2 linked regions of the Bombyx mori genome follow. The protein of the gene in region 2 interacts with the protein of the main gene of each other region in a pairwise test. Links are inferred from orthologs where the notes say so. Each region holds a gene or a part of one and is shown on either strand. Other genes may lie near its edges. The genes, in order: rap1 GTPase-activating protein 1 and Go.

Region 1 (8,191 bases), on a different chromosome or scaffold from region 2:
TATGTATCAAATAGCCTATGAGAATATAGATTCGAACAAAGTAGCGTAAAGTTTAGATTTATAGTCAGCGATATCTCGTATCTTTGTAAGGTTTTACTATCAAGAATTATGAGCTGTCTCATTGCTGCTGGAGGAAAACTTTACGATACTAACCCTATGGACAGTTAGTATAAAAGTGCATATTTTATAGAGTTTGACATGAACATTAAAAAGTTATTGTTTGTTCGGTACCTTTTTGCACAGAAGTTTAACAATAGATATTTTAAGATTACCAGGAAGCATTCCCTTCAATATAAAGATTTGTTATAGTATTTTCTTCGGTTTTCGCGAGACGTAGATAGTGTTATAACGACCCGCCCTCGCTACGCTTCGGAAACATTAAATTTTATTATTGATAGCTGAGTCCCGCGATATTACCCGCGGCTATTGTCGTACCGCGGTTGAAGCCGCGGGACGAAGCTAGTCTAAAAAAATAGCCTAAGTTACTCAAAATCGGTCCAATCGTTCCAGAGATTAGCCGGAACAAACAGACAGACAGATAAAAAATTTAAAAAATGTTATATTGGTGTATGTACCGTATATATTTAGTCTGGCCATAAATGCTGTTACAATTAAAAATAAACAAAATATTACATTTGAATTTGGAATCTGTCATTTTTACATGATTGCTCATTGAGTTTTCTCATTTTGGCGCCAATACATTCATTGTACAATATTTTGCGATATTAAAATGGAGTGGGGTGATAAAGAGAACCCAATCGCTGTGATTGCATTACACAAAGTAGGTATGGAGCCAAATGCAATTTTTAAAACTCTCCATACGCTTGGTATTAGTAAAATGTTTGTGTACCGGGCTATTAATAGGTGCAATGAGACCTCTTCTGTTTGTGACAGAAAAAGATTTGGCCGTCCACGTAGTGTTCGTACGAAAAAGGTGGTCAAAGCAGTAAGGGAAAGAATTCGAAGAAATCCTGTCTGAAAGTAAAAGATTTTATCTCGGGAGATGAAGATAGCACCTAGAACCATGTCGCGTATTTTAAAAGATGACTTAGGACTTGCACCCTATAAGAGACGTACTGGTCATTTCTTAACTGATAATTTAAAAGAGAATAGGGTGGTAAAATCGAAACAACTACTGAAGCGGTACGCAACGTGGGCACTATCCGACTTCAGTGATAGTTTGGTGGGGTATTAGCTATGAAGGAGTGACTGAGCCAAACTTTTGTGAAAAAGGTATCAAAACATCGGCACAAGTGTATCAAGATACCATTATTGAGAAGGTAGTGAAGCCCCTTAACAACACCATGTTCAATAATCAAGAATGGTCCTTCCAGCAAGACTCGGCGCCAGGTCATAAAGCTCGGTCTACGTAGTCTTGGTTGGAAACGAACGTTTCGGACTTCAGACCTGAAGACTGGTCGTCGTCTTGTCCCGATCTTAATCCGCTGGATTATGATTTATGGTTAGTTTTAGAGAGTACGGCTTGCTCTAAACGCCATGATAATTTGGAGTCCCTAAAATAATCCGTACGATTGACAGTGAAAAATGTTCCCATGGAAAGAGTGCGTGTTTCTATTGTTAACGGATTTTTTTATGCTTTTTTTTATTGCTTAGATGATTTGCCACGTCGCTTTTATATTAATTTTTGAATCCTTTATAAACTGAATATTTTGTGCTTTTCGAAGCAATGTTATTTTTTTCAATCTTACAAAACAAAGTTTTCGACATTGTTTTATATTTAAAATTAGGATGTATTCTGTAACGCCATTGTATTTCCCATTTTCTGTTATAGCATCTTCGGGTTTTCTTATTTTTGTTTTTCAACTGGGAATTGTAATTGTGAAAAGCGACACCTATAAAAAATTAAAATAACTATTAGGGTTTGTCCTAGAAATTTACCCAGTTAATACTGAGCTGCACAGATGGAGCTATTTCTCAAAATTTCATGTTAACGTATTATGAAATGTTTTGTTCATTACAATATTAGGGCTCTATAGCGGAGTCGCGAATGATACTAATCCTCAAATACTAATCCTCCGAATCACAATGGACATTTTTTAGTCTAGATTGGTATCTCTAAATACAACAATCATGATGCATTTTTATCACGACGTGATCAAAGATTCAGTTTCTAACCATTATCTCGAAAGAGGAAATTGCACTTACGCGCTTACGCGCTACTACTAAAAGAAACCTTTCACAGTCACAGTCACTTCCATTAACCATTTAACGGCCGTCTGGTGTAGTGGTAAGTGACATGGTCACTACACAAGGGGGTCGCGGCTTCGAATCCCGCCAAGGGAAGATATTTGTATGATAAATTTAATATAAATGTCTTTTCCAGGGTTATGGATGTATATTAAATATATGTATGTGTATAATAAAAATCTTACATTTATATCCGTTATCTGGTACCTGTAACACAAGTTCTACAAGAACTTATCACAGGACCAGTTAACGTGGCATGATTGTTAGTAAAAAAAATTATTTATAAAAATAAAATAAATAAAAAAAGAATTATTTCTAATTATTATTATAAAATAATTACACTAAGCTGTAGAGAGAGCCATCTCTTGGCACATATCAACACTACTAAACAGCACAGTAGCACCATCTAGCAATATACAGACGAAAGGCACTTGTTAAAGGCACTGGACGTTAAATAAAACAACATTTATTTAGGATGTAACTATTCATATATTTCAATAGTATCTCTTAAAAACTACTTTTCTAACGCTCCGCGCTCAATATTTGGTTTAGGTCTAAATGAAGACGAATCAACAGTTAGTTACAATCAACTATTAAATCAACATTCGAACAAAATATCTAAAAGAATACATTTATTTACGAGGCTAAATGTAAACTTAGAAATTGTGTTAGCATACGTCCATCAATCAAACCTTGAATACTGGTTCTAGAAAAAAAAAACCTACACTATTTTAGTGGGGAATGTTAGCTTTGGTATAAAATATTAATTATAAACAACAAAACGTAATCAAACGAACACTCAAAACGAACTTAAATCGAAGCATAAATTATGAAAAAAAAAAATACTGCTTTTCTTATTGAAATCAATAGTCCAGTCGCCATATATGTACATTAACCGGTATACTTAAATTATGCTAAATTACCCAAAGAACAGAAGATTGCACAATACCAAAAGAATAATTGCAAATGCGTACTTCTACGTACAAATATGTACTGGGAAATCATGTAAATAAGTCAAACTATGTCAAAACTAAGAGTCATTGAAATTTCTAAAACACCACATATGACGTCATAAAGTTTTCACTTAATAATTCAGTACTAATAAATTTCTTCTAACATCTAACGCTCGCAATTTATAATAATGAACTATGAATGAACGAACTACGCTTCTTCTAAATTAGTATTTGTAGATATGAGCGTGATATACATTTTAGGAAAACTGAAGTGTGTAGTGGAACAGTAATAGCGTTTGAAATATTGGTAAAAATCAAGATTCTATATGGATCTTAACTAATAAATATAACCTGTCTTCATTCCCGCAGTCGAGAATAAAAGTTGAAGAACACAAGCGGTCTTTTCAAAATACATAAAATATTACAGTGAATAAAAACGTATTTGATAATAGTGTGAGTGCAAAATATAATATTTGTATAAGTTGTTGGGTTTTTAATTTTAAACGGCATGAATTTGAAGTAAGCTTAATTATCACAACGTTTACAAAAAGCATTTGTCTTAGATTATAGACATAGTAACAATCTTGTTTCGTATAACAACATATAAAAGATTCGAATCACATTCTCTCTACATATGCTACAGATTATTTTTATAATATACTTTTCTTGTACTCGGAAACGAGCTACAATATAATATAATTGTATTCGAAGCATAGTTTTACGCAAAGACAATCATAGAATACAATTTTAAAATTCGGAAATATTACGACATCTATTGATGAAACATTGAACTAAGTATATAAAGATTGCCAGAAATCAAGTCGATATATTTTTCTATAACATGAATCACACAACACAGAAGAGAGAACAACATGTATCTATAAATATTATTAAGTTTTGACACCGATATATTTATCTATTACGATGATCGACTTTCAAAAAATTCTACGACAATAATAATATAGGTATCAGTTTAAACTAATCATTTCTCACAATCAGATCTAATAAATAATCACGTCACCTTTTGAGTTGGGTTGATTTTGTTAATTTGAGCCTTGCGGCTTCGGCTCAAAGTTCGTATTAGGCCGTGGAATCGTGTGGCGAAGGGTTCGGGATGGTTGTGCTTAGTGACTGTTGTTGCTCTCTGAGCCTTCGGACTTCCCTCGCCGCGGCGGCCAACTCGGCTTGCAGAGATATTTCTCTTTCGCGTAAGTTCTTGATTTCATTCTGCCAGGTCTGTTAAAAAAATAATATGTTTGAAGAACCGTTAAGAATCGCACTACCTTGCACAATAATATGGCTCCTACGATATAAGTGTACAAGTTGCTACTTTTTTTTTTATATAAATGATACTAGAGATTTTGATGTACGATTAGTGATTATATTATCTATTTTAATTATACTTTTTTTGCTTTTTTATTGCTTAGATGGAGGGGTGGACGAGCTCACAGCCCACCTGATGTTAAGTGGTTACTGGAGCCCATAGACATCTACAACGTAAATGCGCCATCCACCTTGAGATATAAGTTCTAAAGTCTCAGTATTGTTACAACGGCTGACCCACCGTTCAAACGAAACGCATTACTGCTTCACGGCAGAAATAGGCAGGGTGGTGGTACCTACCCGCGTGGACTCACAAGAGGTCCCACCACCAGTAATTACGCAAATTATAATTTTTGCGGGTTTGATATGTCGGGTCGGGATTGTGGTTACCGGCATTCCACGATGAGAGGGTTCCCATGTCGTGTCGCTTTGTCGAAGTGGCCTTGAAGGCAGACGAGCATACGACCCACCCAATACGGCGCTAATTAACGCGTTAAGACGCAGAAGAGCAGCAGAATTATACTCACAATGTTCTGCTTGAGTAGATCCAGTTTGTCATTCTTGAGCCTGCAGACCTCTTGTCGTAGGTCGGCGTCCCCCCGCGGCGGTGCGGCTCCGTCGGCGCGTCCCCCCGCAGCGCCCGCCCCGCACCCCGCACCCGCCTCCGCAGACGACATCGACTCCAGACCGGTGTCGCTGTCTACGTATACGCCGCCTGCTGGACGGAACACGGAATTCGTTCAGGCATATTACGTCCATGGCTCAATTATGTATACATGTTTTTTTAATTGTAAACAAAAATATTAACATGTTTCCTTGCAGCAGACGAAAGTAACGTGTATTAAGTAGGTAAGAGTAAGCTAAAGAAGATAGAAAAGTGTGCAAAAAAGCAATATTGATAATGTAAAGTATCAAAATAATTTCTAGTTCCTATTTTTTTTTTATTGCTTAGATGGGTGGACGAACTCACAGCCCACCTAGTGTTGAGTAATTACTGGAGGCCATAGACATATACAAAGTAAATGCCACCATCCACCTTGAGATATGAGTTGTAAGGTCTCAGTATACTTACAACGGCTGCCCCACCCTTCAAATCGAAACGCATTACTGCTTCACGGCAGAAATAGGCAGGGTGGTGTTACCTACCCGTGCGGACTCACAAGTGGTCCTACCACCAGTAAAAATACAAGATTCGGAAATTCGTTCCAGTTAAATCAAAACGTAGATTTTTAGGTGAATAAATAAATAATATCAGGTAGCCACATGATGTTCATTCCGCTCCCGAAAGTATTTTTTTTAGATTTTAATTGTAAAAATATATAAAAAATGTACTTATAATATAAAATTTTGGTCATTGCTAAACTCCATGAGCGATGGCGATCATTCACCATCAAGTGGGTCGTACCATCACCAGTCTAGCTTATTATTAAAAAAAAAACTCTACAACTATTAATAGATAAAAATATACAAAACGTTTTACATCCGTGCTGAATACGCTAAAAACAGTATTTAACTATTAAAATACAATTTAAGATTATGACTAAATGGAAATGGACTAAGATTATGTTAATTAAATAATGTGACATTAATGTGCAAGAGATAGACAAAAATATATTTCCTACTCACTATAAGACGTGAATCGAAATAAATGTATGCGAATAATAAATATTTAAAAGATTTTCTAATTTACGATTACGTGCTCAAAATGATCTACAAAAAAAAGTATTTTTTTTAATAATTTATACTTGTTATGGAGACTAACCTGTTTTACCACAAGTCAGCCAGTCTTTGTCGTCTAATTGGAAAATAATTTTATTCAATATACATATGTGTACACATTTATTTAAATATATTCTTAAATTAAACGTTAATTTGAAACATGACAGGAAAGAGAGAGAAAGAGACAGGGCTATTGTGGATGATAGTTGTAATGATGCGCAATTTCTGCACGTGAACGTTAATAAAATTACAAGTTCATTCATTTGGACGTTACAATTCGCATGGGCGATGCCACTGTTTTTCACCCGGTTATTGTTGTAATTGTTTATGACAGTATCATTTGCCAAAAACCACTTTTACAACAAAAAAAACCGTATGTACCTACTAAGTTCCAAATCAATCGAACTGACTTTATAATTCGAATTACGAACACTACACTAGTCTCAAATCCGTGTTCACAGATTATACTCAAGGTTTGGGTTGCGAAATGAGGTTGGATGAACGAGGTTCGTCGTGATCAAATACTGTTCCATTTAGCTCGGGAAGTCTCCACTCTCTGTCATGCAATAGACGACAGTCGGTTTCGCAAAACATAATAATATCGTTTTCTACTTGTAGACAATTCGAACATTCGACAAAACCTGATAATAATATAGCCGCAACATTAGTCACTTCACGATTGCGAAATTTGAAATTCTAATTCAAAAAAAAAAAACAACTAGCCGCACTCGCCCGGCATTTAAAATTAACATTATTATTTATTGTCATTATTATTAGGGAGTCCAACACTCATATAAATATTAGTCTATCCATTAAGTATATGTATTTTTTACATGGATACCAAGTTTCAAGTCAATCGGATGCATGGTTCAGTAGTTATAACGGATCATCCGTAAAAATCACTGTAGATTTATACATTACATCTATATATTATATATTAGATTTATAGATGTTCAAAAGAAATCGAATTTTTATTAAAATTCATATTTCGAACTACGTTTTTTTTACCGTTACTTATTTGCTTACTGACATTAAGTGTATCTATGATACTGACCAAGCGGATCCAAGTCGACTGAGTTGAGGCTGGAGTCGTCGCTGTGGTCGTTCAGCGGCGGTCTCGGAGGGGCGGCTCGTGACGTCACATCCGGACTGGACTCCCCGGACCCACCGGCTGAACGAACCGACACTGCGCTCGCCGACGACGACGCTATAGATGACTTCGAACGACCGCTCTGTTCATAAAACAAAAGATATGATTAGTAAAATTTGCGCTCAGGATTTGATATTTTTTACTGGTGGTAGGGCCTCTTGTGAGCTCACACTGGTAGATCTCAATCTGCCAATTTCAGCCGCGTAGCAGTAATGCGGTTTGAAGGGTGGGTTAGCTGTTGTATTGATAAAACCTACCCGTGCGGACTCCAAGTTATAGACATAGCACAGCGAATTAGTAAGCTGAAGTGGCAATGGGCTGGCCATATTAGCCGGACAACCGATAATCGTTGAGGTAAACGCGTTCTTGAGTAGAGACCGCGAACTGGAAAACGCAGTGCAGGAAACCCTCAGACTCCGTGGAGTGATGATCTGTGCGGGGTGGCTGGCAGGAACTGGATGAGAGAAGCCGAAGATCGTGCTCAGTGGCGAACAATTGAAGAGGCCTATGTCCAGCAGTGGACTACTATAGGCTGATGATGATGAGGATGTGCGGACTCACAAGAGGTCCTATCACCAGTAATTACGCAAATTATAATTTTGCGAGTTTGATTTTTAATAAACGATGTTATTCCTTCACCGTGGAAGTCAATCGCGAACATTTGTTAAGTACGTATTTCATCAGAAAAATTGGTACCCGCCTGCGGGATTCGAACACCGGTACATCGCTAGATACGAATGCACCGGGCCGTCTTATCCTTTAGGCGACTACGACTTCGCGGAAAAATTTGTTGATGTCTCTGGGCTCTGATAAACAATTAACACCAGGGGGACCGTAC
Region 2 (8,887 bases):
ATCCAAACTGACTCACTAGTATTAACGTGACGTTTTTGTGACTGGGATGAAAAATTTAAAAGATCACGTTACTCAGAAATGAATGATGTCGTTGTTGCTAGTGAGTCACTAAGGCACGATCCGTGACGTCACGCCGATCTTTTAGACCGAATATTCATATTGGATCTCTTTGGAAGTATAGGCTCGATTAATAACCAATTACGAACAGTTTTGAAAAATATATTCTAGCGTAAATTCTAGAAAATACGCTGCGTATTGACGTCGTTCAAAGAGATACACTCGACAAAATGCAAAAGCAGAAACGTTCTTTAGCTGAGCACGAAGAGGGGGCTATACAAACGAATGCTGTATTTATTCAAGGATCGCGTGTCGTCTGCGAGCTCGTTAATATGTATGCGACATCACCGCCACCGTCGACTGCAACTAGTGGCAAACAGGATGCTAAACGTGCAGCTCGCCCTATACGATCATAGATTTCTAGGAGTGGGTAATATCGGTTTTGCCGCGTATCGAATCGTATCTATATATCGAGGATCAATATCGGATATTGAATCTATATATTTTCTGAATCTATATATTGATGGATGCTAGTAGTGATTCATGATATTTGAGATTTGAAACATTATTTTCAGTTTTTAGTATTTTGTGTCTTAATTTAAAATTACAAAATAAACCAAAAGAGACAGATACAAACACAAGAAATAAACTCAATTATTTGGATTCAACTAAAAATAGAAAAATGTGTACTTTAAAAATCAAACACAAAAAACTTTTAAGTATTTATAAACACTTGTCCAAAAATTCTAGTTCAAGGTCAAAGCGCGTGAAATTAAATTCAACGATGCAAATAGGCTATACTGCATTCAAGTTAGGGTCGAAAGTTGAAACTTCTTTCCTTAATTGTATCCTGCTGATACGCTAAGAATAATCTGCAGACATATGGACTTAAATATAAGGTTTACAATTGTATGGATAATGCCTGTTTCTGTTTCATTCATCACATGATATCCCTATCGTGCGCTCACTCACTCTGGCCGATTCGATACGAACCAAACGAATATTGCTGATATTAACGAATCGGTACGATATGCCGATGCGCATCACATCGAGCAATATCGTGTATCGGCTGATATCGAAATATAGATTTCGATTCACGAATCGGTCCGATATGGCGATGCGCATCACATCGAGCAATATCGTGTATCGGCTGATATCGATATATAGATTTCGTGCGGGGCGATATCGGATTCAACGATATTGCGGCGATATATAGATATTGAATCTATATACGATTTATATCACCCACTCCTATAGATTTCTATCTTTGATTTCTCGCTTGAGTGCGATTAGTCTTTAAATGTCTATAGGTTTAAATTAATTTGACGGTTTTACCGTCTCGGTGGTGCAGTAGTTAGTATCCCTGATTGCGGAGCCGAGGGTCGTGGGTTCGATTCCCACACCGGGCAAATGTTCGTGTAACGAATCGTTGGGTAATCATTTTCTATTTAAAATATGTATCTATTTAAACGTATGAATATAGTTTACACGAACTGTCACTTTAACCATTACATAATTGTGTTATTAGATGCTCACCCCAATTTCCAATAAAAAACCAATTTAAGTTTTCCATTGATTAATATAAGAAAAACGCTTTTATTCGTATCTTAGGTTACCCTATGCAATCGTTATCATTGATTTATATTCATTTACATACGTATAAAACCGTAGACATCATTTTAGGAACAATGTGTGTGGATGCCAAATATACTGCCATTGTTAAGGCACAAAAACAAATGAATGTGACCCAATACTATTTGAATGCGTGACTTAAACCACGTACACGTTGATACGCCTGACTGTGTATCCTAACAATATACCTTCTTTAAAATTTGACCTAGAATGTCAAATATCTTCTTCAAAAAACTAAACATCAAATGAGTCGTCTATTATCAAAGGTGGCAGGCAATCTGTGCATTTGGAAAAAAAAATGTTATTGATATGTCAATACAGATTGATTTGAATATAATCGTCTCCTTCAAAGAATACGGTTCAAAACCTGTATTAAATAAAGGTTAATGCTTAACCTGTTATTTATCTTAGAGGTGATTCAGAAGAGTTTTGTGACTGCCAATGGAATACAACGTCAATAATTCGTTTTTCTGATTTACCTATAATTGTCCAAAAGTCACATTGCCGGCTTTGATAATAGTCGACTCAATACAAACAAACAAACAATTTGTTTTAAAATAGAATGGTATGTGAACATTTTCATACAAGCGCCCATACACAAAGAAATTAATAAAATTAATAATTAAAATTAAAGTATAATTAAATTAAAAAAAAAGAACTAGTTTTCCAAACCAATAAAAACATATTCGTATTCGTTCCTTATCAATTCTGAATAATGAATACATTAACGGCAAATCGAACTGTAATTGCACACGTATTAAGCATTCTAAATTCACAGTGAAATCTATTAAGGAAACACAAACAGAATATTTTTATATAATTTTAATGCCCACTATCGCGCCCTACCTCCTTATGGTTTCTATTGTAAAAGAAAAGGTAAATTGATTAAATTTAAAAGTGATTAAAAATTCGAAATTATTCAAATCATGTTGAATGTTTAACTCTCTATTGTGGTATACACTAGTTTAAGTTCATAGAGTGTTTAAAAGAATAAAATTTGATTTTTTAAACCCTCGCACACTGGCAACGTTTTTTTTGGTTGTTATGTAATTACTAAAATGTAACTTACACATGATAATATCAATGTCATCTATATATTAATACGTGAAGCAAAAACTTTGTATCCCTTTTTACGAAAATTGCACGGACGGAGGAGTATGAAGTTTTCCACACTTATAGAGAATACAGAGAAGAAGTGCACAGTGCTAATATTTTTTGTAAATTATGCATAAAAGATACATTAAATCAATAAAGAAAACATTACACACACACTACATACCATGTATTTGACGCACACACGCATGCATACTATTTATTGTCGAACTTTTGTTCTTGACGTCTGTGGTCAAATTGAGAATAGATTAAATATTGTTTGTCTTTATGAATATTTTTCTATAGTGTAGTCTTGGCGAAATTTGTGATTATAGAAGTATAAAATATAATCATAATAGTGTACAAACTTATAATTTCAATTAATTATAGTAGAATTTCGACTACCGGTCGACCACTAGTTAGTGAAATTCAACAATTGTATTTTCGGTAATGCTCACGGTCTCCTTTGATTCTAGTTTCCTGGACGACCTCGACCGGTTAGGAGCAAAGGATTACCAGCCCACCGAACAAGATATCCTAAGGACTAGAGTCAAAACGACTGGAATCGTCGAAGTACATTTCTCCTTCAAAAACCTCAATTTCAAGTAAGTTGATCTTTTCAGGCAACGGCTTTAAATAGTAACTGATTATAGGCGATTACGGAATTTGCCAAACGAAGAGACATCAATTTATAAGGGGCAATAAGTATTTCAATAAAATTGTAAGTTGTATTTATAATTTGAAAGATGATTATAAGGCGACCATGAGTGATTGGTTTTTATTAGTTTAATGTACAAAATGTAGCCCTAAAACAAATGTTAACAATTGTCTGTTTGTTCCCCTGTGTTCAGGATTAAAGTGAACAAACAGGCTTATTGAAATTGTTGATTGTTGTTTTTCTCTTCAACGACGAGAAACGTGGCCCATGAAAATATGTCACGTGTTTCAGTAATACATATTTAGTATATTTGATAATGATTTCATAATCTATTAACTTATGAGATTCATAGTCTATCATGACGACACTAATACGAAATGAATATGTAGTTTGTCTAGAATTGTTAATCAATGTAATTACGCCTAAGTCAATCAGGGATTACAAATAAAGTTTGCACGCGCAAGGACTTTTATGTCGTCATTAGTAATGTTTCATTGTTGAATAATTGCAGTAAGTTTATAATTGTTTCTATTACATTCGTATGTACATAAATATTTCGAGCGCTTCGAACATTATCAGTATACATGGTTGAACTAGAGTGATATAGTGACGACATAAATAGTAGTATGATTCAATCAGTAACGCAAATTATGTTTCCAGATTGTTCGACGTGGGCGGGCAGCGATCGGAGAGGAAGAAATGGATTCATTGCTTCGAGGACGTGACCGCGATCATATTCTGTGTTGCCATGTCTGAATATGATCAGGTGTTGCACGAGGATGAAACAACGGTCAGTATATACAGTAATGAATGAGCCGATGATTCAGTTTTATTTATTTATTAAGAGTAAGATTATTATTTTTCTCCACCTTATCGGTAAGCAGCGGCTTAGCTCTGCCCCTGCCATTGCTGAAGTCCATAGGCGACGGTAACCACTCATCATCAGGTGGGACGTGAGCTCGTCTGCCTACAAGGGCAATAAAAAAAACCCACTATGTGGGGTCGGCACAGCTAATTTTTCTCTTCCATTCTCTTCTATCAGCTGTCATTTCAACACTCACTCCTCTCTTTCTCATATCGTCATTCACACACTCCATCCATGTCTTCTCGGTCGACCAGTTCCCTTTCTACCTTGCACTACCATTTCCATACATCTCCCTAGTCACATGCATCTTCTCTCTACGCACCACATGTCCATACCACGCTAACCGTCCGCTCTTTAATTTTTTTATTACGGGGGCTACTTTCACACTTCCTCTGATATACTCATTCCTTATCTTGTCCGTTCTTGTCACTCCACACATCAATCTCAACATTTGTATCTCTGCCGCATGCACTCCTCTTTCATGTTTCACTTTCGTCGCCCAACATTCAGATCCATCCATAAGATTAGTTAATAAAAAAAAGGTTTTAACATTATTGTAACCAATGTCGATGAAACGATAGGGTGTTGTGTGGAGGCTCCTGGTGATATCTCACAGGTCACTAATTTATTGGAAACTATTACAGACAGAAAAGCTGTTGTTTCTTATCATTAAGAATAATTAATTGATCTCAGATCTTATTTGGAATTTTTTACACATAAATATTTTACTAGAATTTTCGTCAATACATTTTTGTTGTTATATTATTCGAATTGCAAATATATAACTGTTATGTACCAAATTAATCACATTGCATTTAAATTTACAGAACCGTATGCAGGAGAGTCTAAAGTTGTTCGATTCTATCTGCAACAACAAATGGTTCACCGACACCAGCATCATCTTGTTCCTGAACAAGAAGGATCTCTTCGAGGAAAAAATTCGCAGATCGCCGCTCACCATATGCTTTCCAGAATATACAGGTATTTTATCGTTTTACTAATCACAATTTAGTCTGAGGATCTTGCATGAAAATATGTCTGACCGGTATTATTAATACCTAGTTCTTCATGACCGTAAAAATGGTAATTTCACAGCTTATGCATTGCCATTTGGATATGCCAATCCAAGGTCTGTATTCCCTAAGACTTTAAGCTAAGCCAGTTCGAAACTAAGTATTCTTGACCAATCCAGTGGCGTTAGGGCAGGAAGAAAAATAAATGAACAACTTTAATATTTATGCATAGTTTTACAAGATGTCAGTATTACTATTGTTTTTATTATTTTCATAGGAAGATGGTTATCGACCGTAAGCTCTTGGCATAATCATACACCGGGCTTATTGGCTTATTACTTATTAAGCCACGGACGGTTCAACAGCAATTACTAACAATTTTCAAACCTTATTTGAATATTTGGCATGCTGAGTAATCACCGTGGAGGAAAGTTTTCGGACCTTATATATTATATATGGTATTTCTATAGATCTTTCTTATTAAGTTCCCACACACTATCAGAAAAAGTATATACCATACGTCTGATACCAGACTCATCACAAACCGCTCGTGAGGCGCATAACATCTGCCCACAGCAATGATACTGAATGACGATCACGACCGCCCCGACAAGAGTGATACGACAAAGGAAAAAAAGCAATAGAAAATACATAATGATGATTATAATGCGTTATTTGCAGGCGCGCAAGAGTACGGCGAGGCGGCCGCGTACATCCAGGCGCAGTTCGAAGCGAAGAACAAGTCCACCACGAAGGAGATCTACTGCCACATGACGTGCGCCACCGACACGAACAACATCCAGTTTGTGTTCGACGCGGTGACCGACGTGATCATCGCCAACAACCTGCGCGGCTGCGGCCTGTACTAGCCGCCTCGCACCCGCCGCCACTATTACATATATTTATACACCGCTATTTTTATATCAAAAATAAAAAAAAAAACAGCGCTATCTAACCTAACCGATACACACGCTGCTAACGATAAAGATAATTCGAAAAACGAATATCGAAAAATCTAATCCCAGACCAGAGACAATCGTGTCTAATTTGTTGCAGGATTCTAGTAAACTACAACTTGTCATCTCGAATTAAATTCTGAATACTCGAATTACGATAATTCGAAAAACGAATATCGTAAAATCTAATCCCAGACCAGAGACAAGCGTGTCTATGAATTTGTTGCATGATTCTTGTAAACCACAACTTGTCATCTCGAATTAAATTCTGAATACTCGAATTACGTTCGAACGCGTGTATCCCGTAAAGCCTGTTCAAATTTATTTCTGGTAATTAAATCTAGTGGTGTATATATTTTTATGAGAAGTAAGCTTACTCGATATGTACCGCCGACGTGCAGTTATCACGAGTCACGCGGCTCCGACGTGCGGTGCGCGACTAGATGCGAGACGTGCGGGTAGCGTTTCATTTCCCTTGTAATATATAAACCGTCGTTCTGTTCTTCGTTCCGGACGAGCCTTCCCCGCTGGAACGTTCTCGTTAATACCGGGTCCGAGCGAGTCGATTATATCGATTATTCGCGAATCGAAACATAAATCGATTCAAAAGTTTGACATCTTTCGGTTGTTCGAAGTGTTGCGTTGAGAACTATTCGACCCGTCTGGACCTGCCGTTAGACATGTTTTTCAGTGGAATTAGCGATCTAGTGTTCGATTCTAAATTTTGGTGCTAGGCGTTCGTTCAGCGTTTGGTTCGTTCAGAAGTTCGTTCGTTTACGATCTAGTTGTGTCACCGTCGGCCTCGCTCCGGCCCCCCCGGAGCACCGGTCACTAACTCTGCTTATATACTCACTCTCTTACGGACCGAGGGGCAACAACCAATATTAGACATCACAGACAAAAAGTCGGATATCCGCCTTTTTGCAAAAATCTACTGGTTCGTGATTATTAATCTGTTCTTTGGTTGCTCCCTGATCATTAATTTTTTGTCACAATAATTTTTAAATATATTCTACCTAAAATAATCGCATATTCTTCACACATAAGAATCGAATCAATAGGTTTGAGTTCAATGGTTGGTTTTAAGTTACATAATAGAATGGATGTCCAACATTTTGACTCTTGATGTCAATTTTAAATTATTTGATGTTTCACACCGAACTGTAGTGAATTACGTGGAAATGTTCACAGGCCTATTATAACTGATTACAATGCATCATTCCACTATTAAGTATTAGCACGATGGAAATATATTTTTATACAATTTTGAAAACACGAACAGTAACTCTACGGGATTTAGAACCTTTGTTTATGTTCCGATATATCTTAGCTAATATTGTATTGTGAGCTGAACTCTTTCCTAACTTACTTGAGGTTTAGTACCTATTTTAATTTAAGTGATGTAAGCACAAACTATTTATTCCAGTTTAATCATTTTATAATGCCATATTTATATTCATTATTAATTTTTTGTCATGTCGTTTGGACATTTTGTACTTTTTAAGTTATAGCGTCATATCTAATCATCTATTAAAAAAATCATGTAACTATTTAATTTATAAAGGGCCTTGTTTAGTCTGCACTCTAAATGTATTCTGTATAATAAATTAAAAAAAAAGAAAATAAACGCACATGAAGTTGTTTCGTTTTCCTCTCGGCTAATGGTGGCTCTCGCTCTTACTTCATCACCATTATCATTTCATCACCATTCAATATCATTTGACAAATTTTTAAGGAAATATACAACATTGCATATAAAACTTTGCAGCCGATATTAATATAACATTGATTGTCTAGAAGTAACTCCTTTCAGTTACCGTTCACACTAAATGAGGCCCTGTATATTTAGCGTTTAAACAGTTAATATTGAATAAATTAAAATAGCATTATAATCGTCGTACCTATAATGTTAACATTATTGTAATTGTTCGTTGATGGAGTCTGTGACGTAGGACGTGCATTGTTTATCTTAATGCGTCAGAGCGGATGTTGCTTTTTTTTTTTTAAATTTGTCGTCGCAGATTCAGGTTGGAGTGATTATGTCGGGATCAAGCCAAGAACAGGAGTGTCAATGACCTTTTATACGTCAAATGTAAGTATGATTTGCGAAGCAGCTGATCCGTTGAAATGGCTTAAAAGTATGTTGTGATTTACATTATTTCATTAGTTTTTTTTTTTTTTAATTACGTTCTCGGGGAAACAGAATTGCGCGTCAGACCCGTTCCTGTTGTTGGTTTGATTTTAATATAGTTTAGTTTTTGAAGGCTTTGTAATATTTGTAAGCTACATACGTATTTTCGTGCAGCCGATATCTGGTCGTGGTGTCGTGTCTTCGCCGGCTCTCTGGTGTCGGTGCTGCAGTAACGTATCGCACAAGCTGCACAAAACTCCTTAGCGTATAGTTATCCACTTATGGCTACTATTCGTATCGAATGTAAGATTTGTGAGTATATAAACTATGTATGTATACATTCGCGAATTAGCGTAACCGATTCACCCAATACATATTATATACTATATAACATAATTTATTATTAATAATAAATAAATAAATAAAAACTCCTAATTTAAGCATTAGTACCATAATTGTATCAATAAACATAATTATTAATGC

The links.
Region 1: the proteins of Go (region 2) and rap1 GTPase-activating protein 1 interact in a two-hybrid assay, tested with the Caenorhabditis elegans proteins (2 studies listed by BioGRID). The link is inferred for Bombyx mori from reciprocal best matches to the Caenorhabditis elegans genes goa-1 and F53A10.2.

Annotation. Positions count from the first base shown.
Region 1 is NC_085109.1:6,780,594-6,788,784, reverse strand, and holds the end of rap1 GTPase-activating protein 1, read right to left. Parts: intron 7,436-8,191; coding exon 7,258-7,435; intron 6,280-7,257; coding exon 6,247-6,279; intron 5,203-6,246; coding exon 5,012-5,202; intron 4,398-5,011; coding exon 4,242-4,397; 3' UTR 2,674-4,241; downstream 1-2,673.
Region 2 is NC_085125.1:9,487,771-9,496,657, reverse strand, and holds the end of Go (G protein alpha subunit Go), read left to right. Parts: intron 1-3,257; coding exon 3,258-3,386; intron 3,387-4,099; coding exon 4,100-4,229; intron 4,230-5,131; coding exon 5,132-5,285; intron 5,286-5,998; coding exon 5,999-6,186; 3' UTR 6,187-6,247; downstream 6,248-8,887. UniProt on the Caenorhabditis elegans protein: Guanine nucleotide-binding proteins (G proteins) are involved as modulators or transducers in various transmembrane signaling systems. In the 1-cell embryo, probably together with gpa-16, controls nuclear rotation and spindle elongation during mitosis.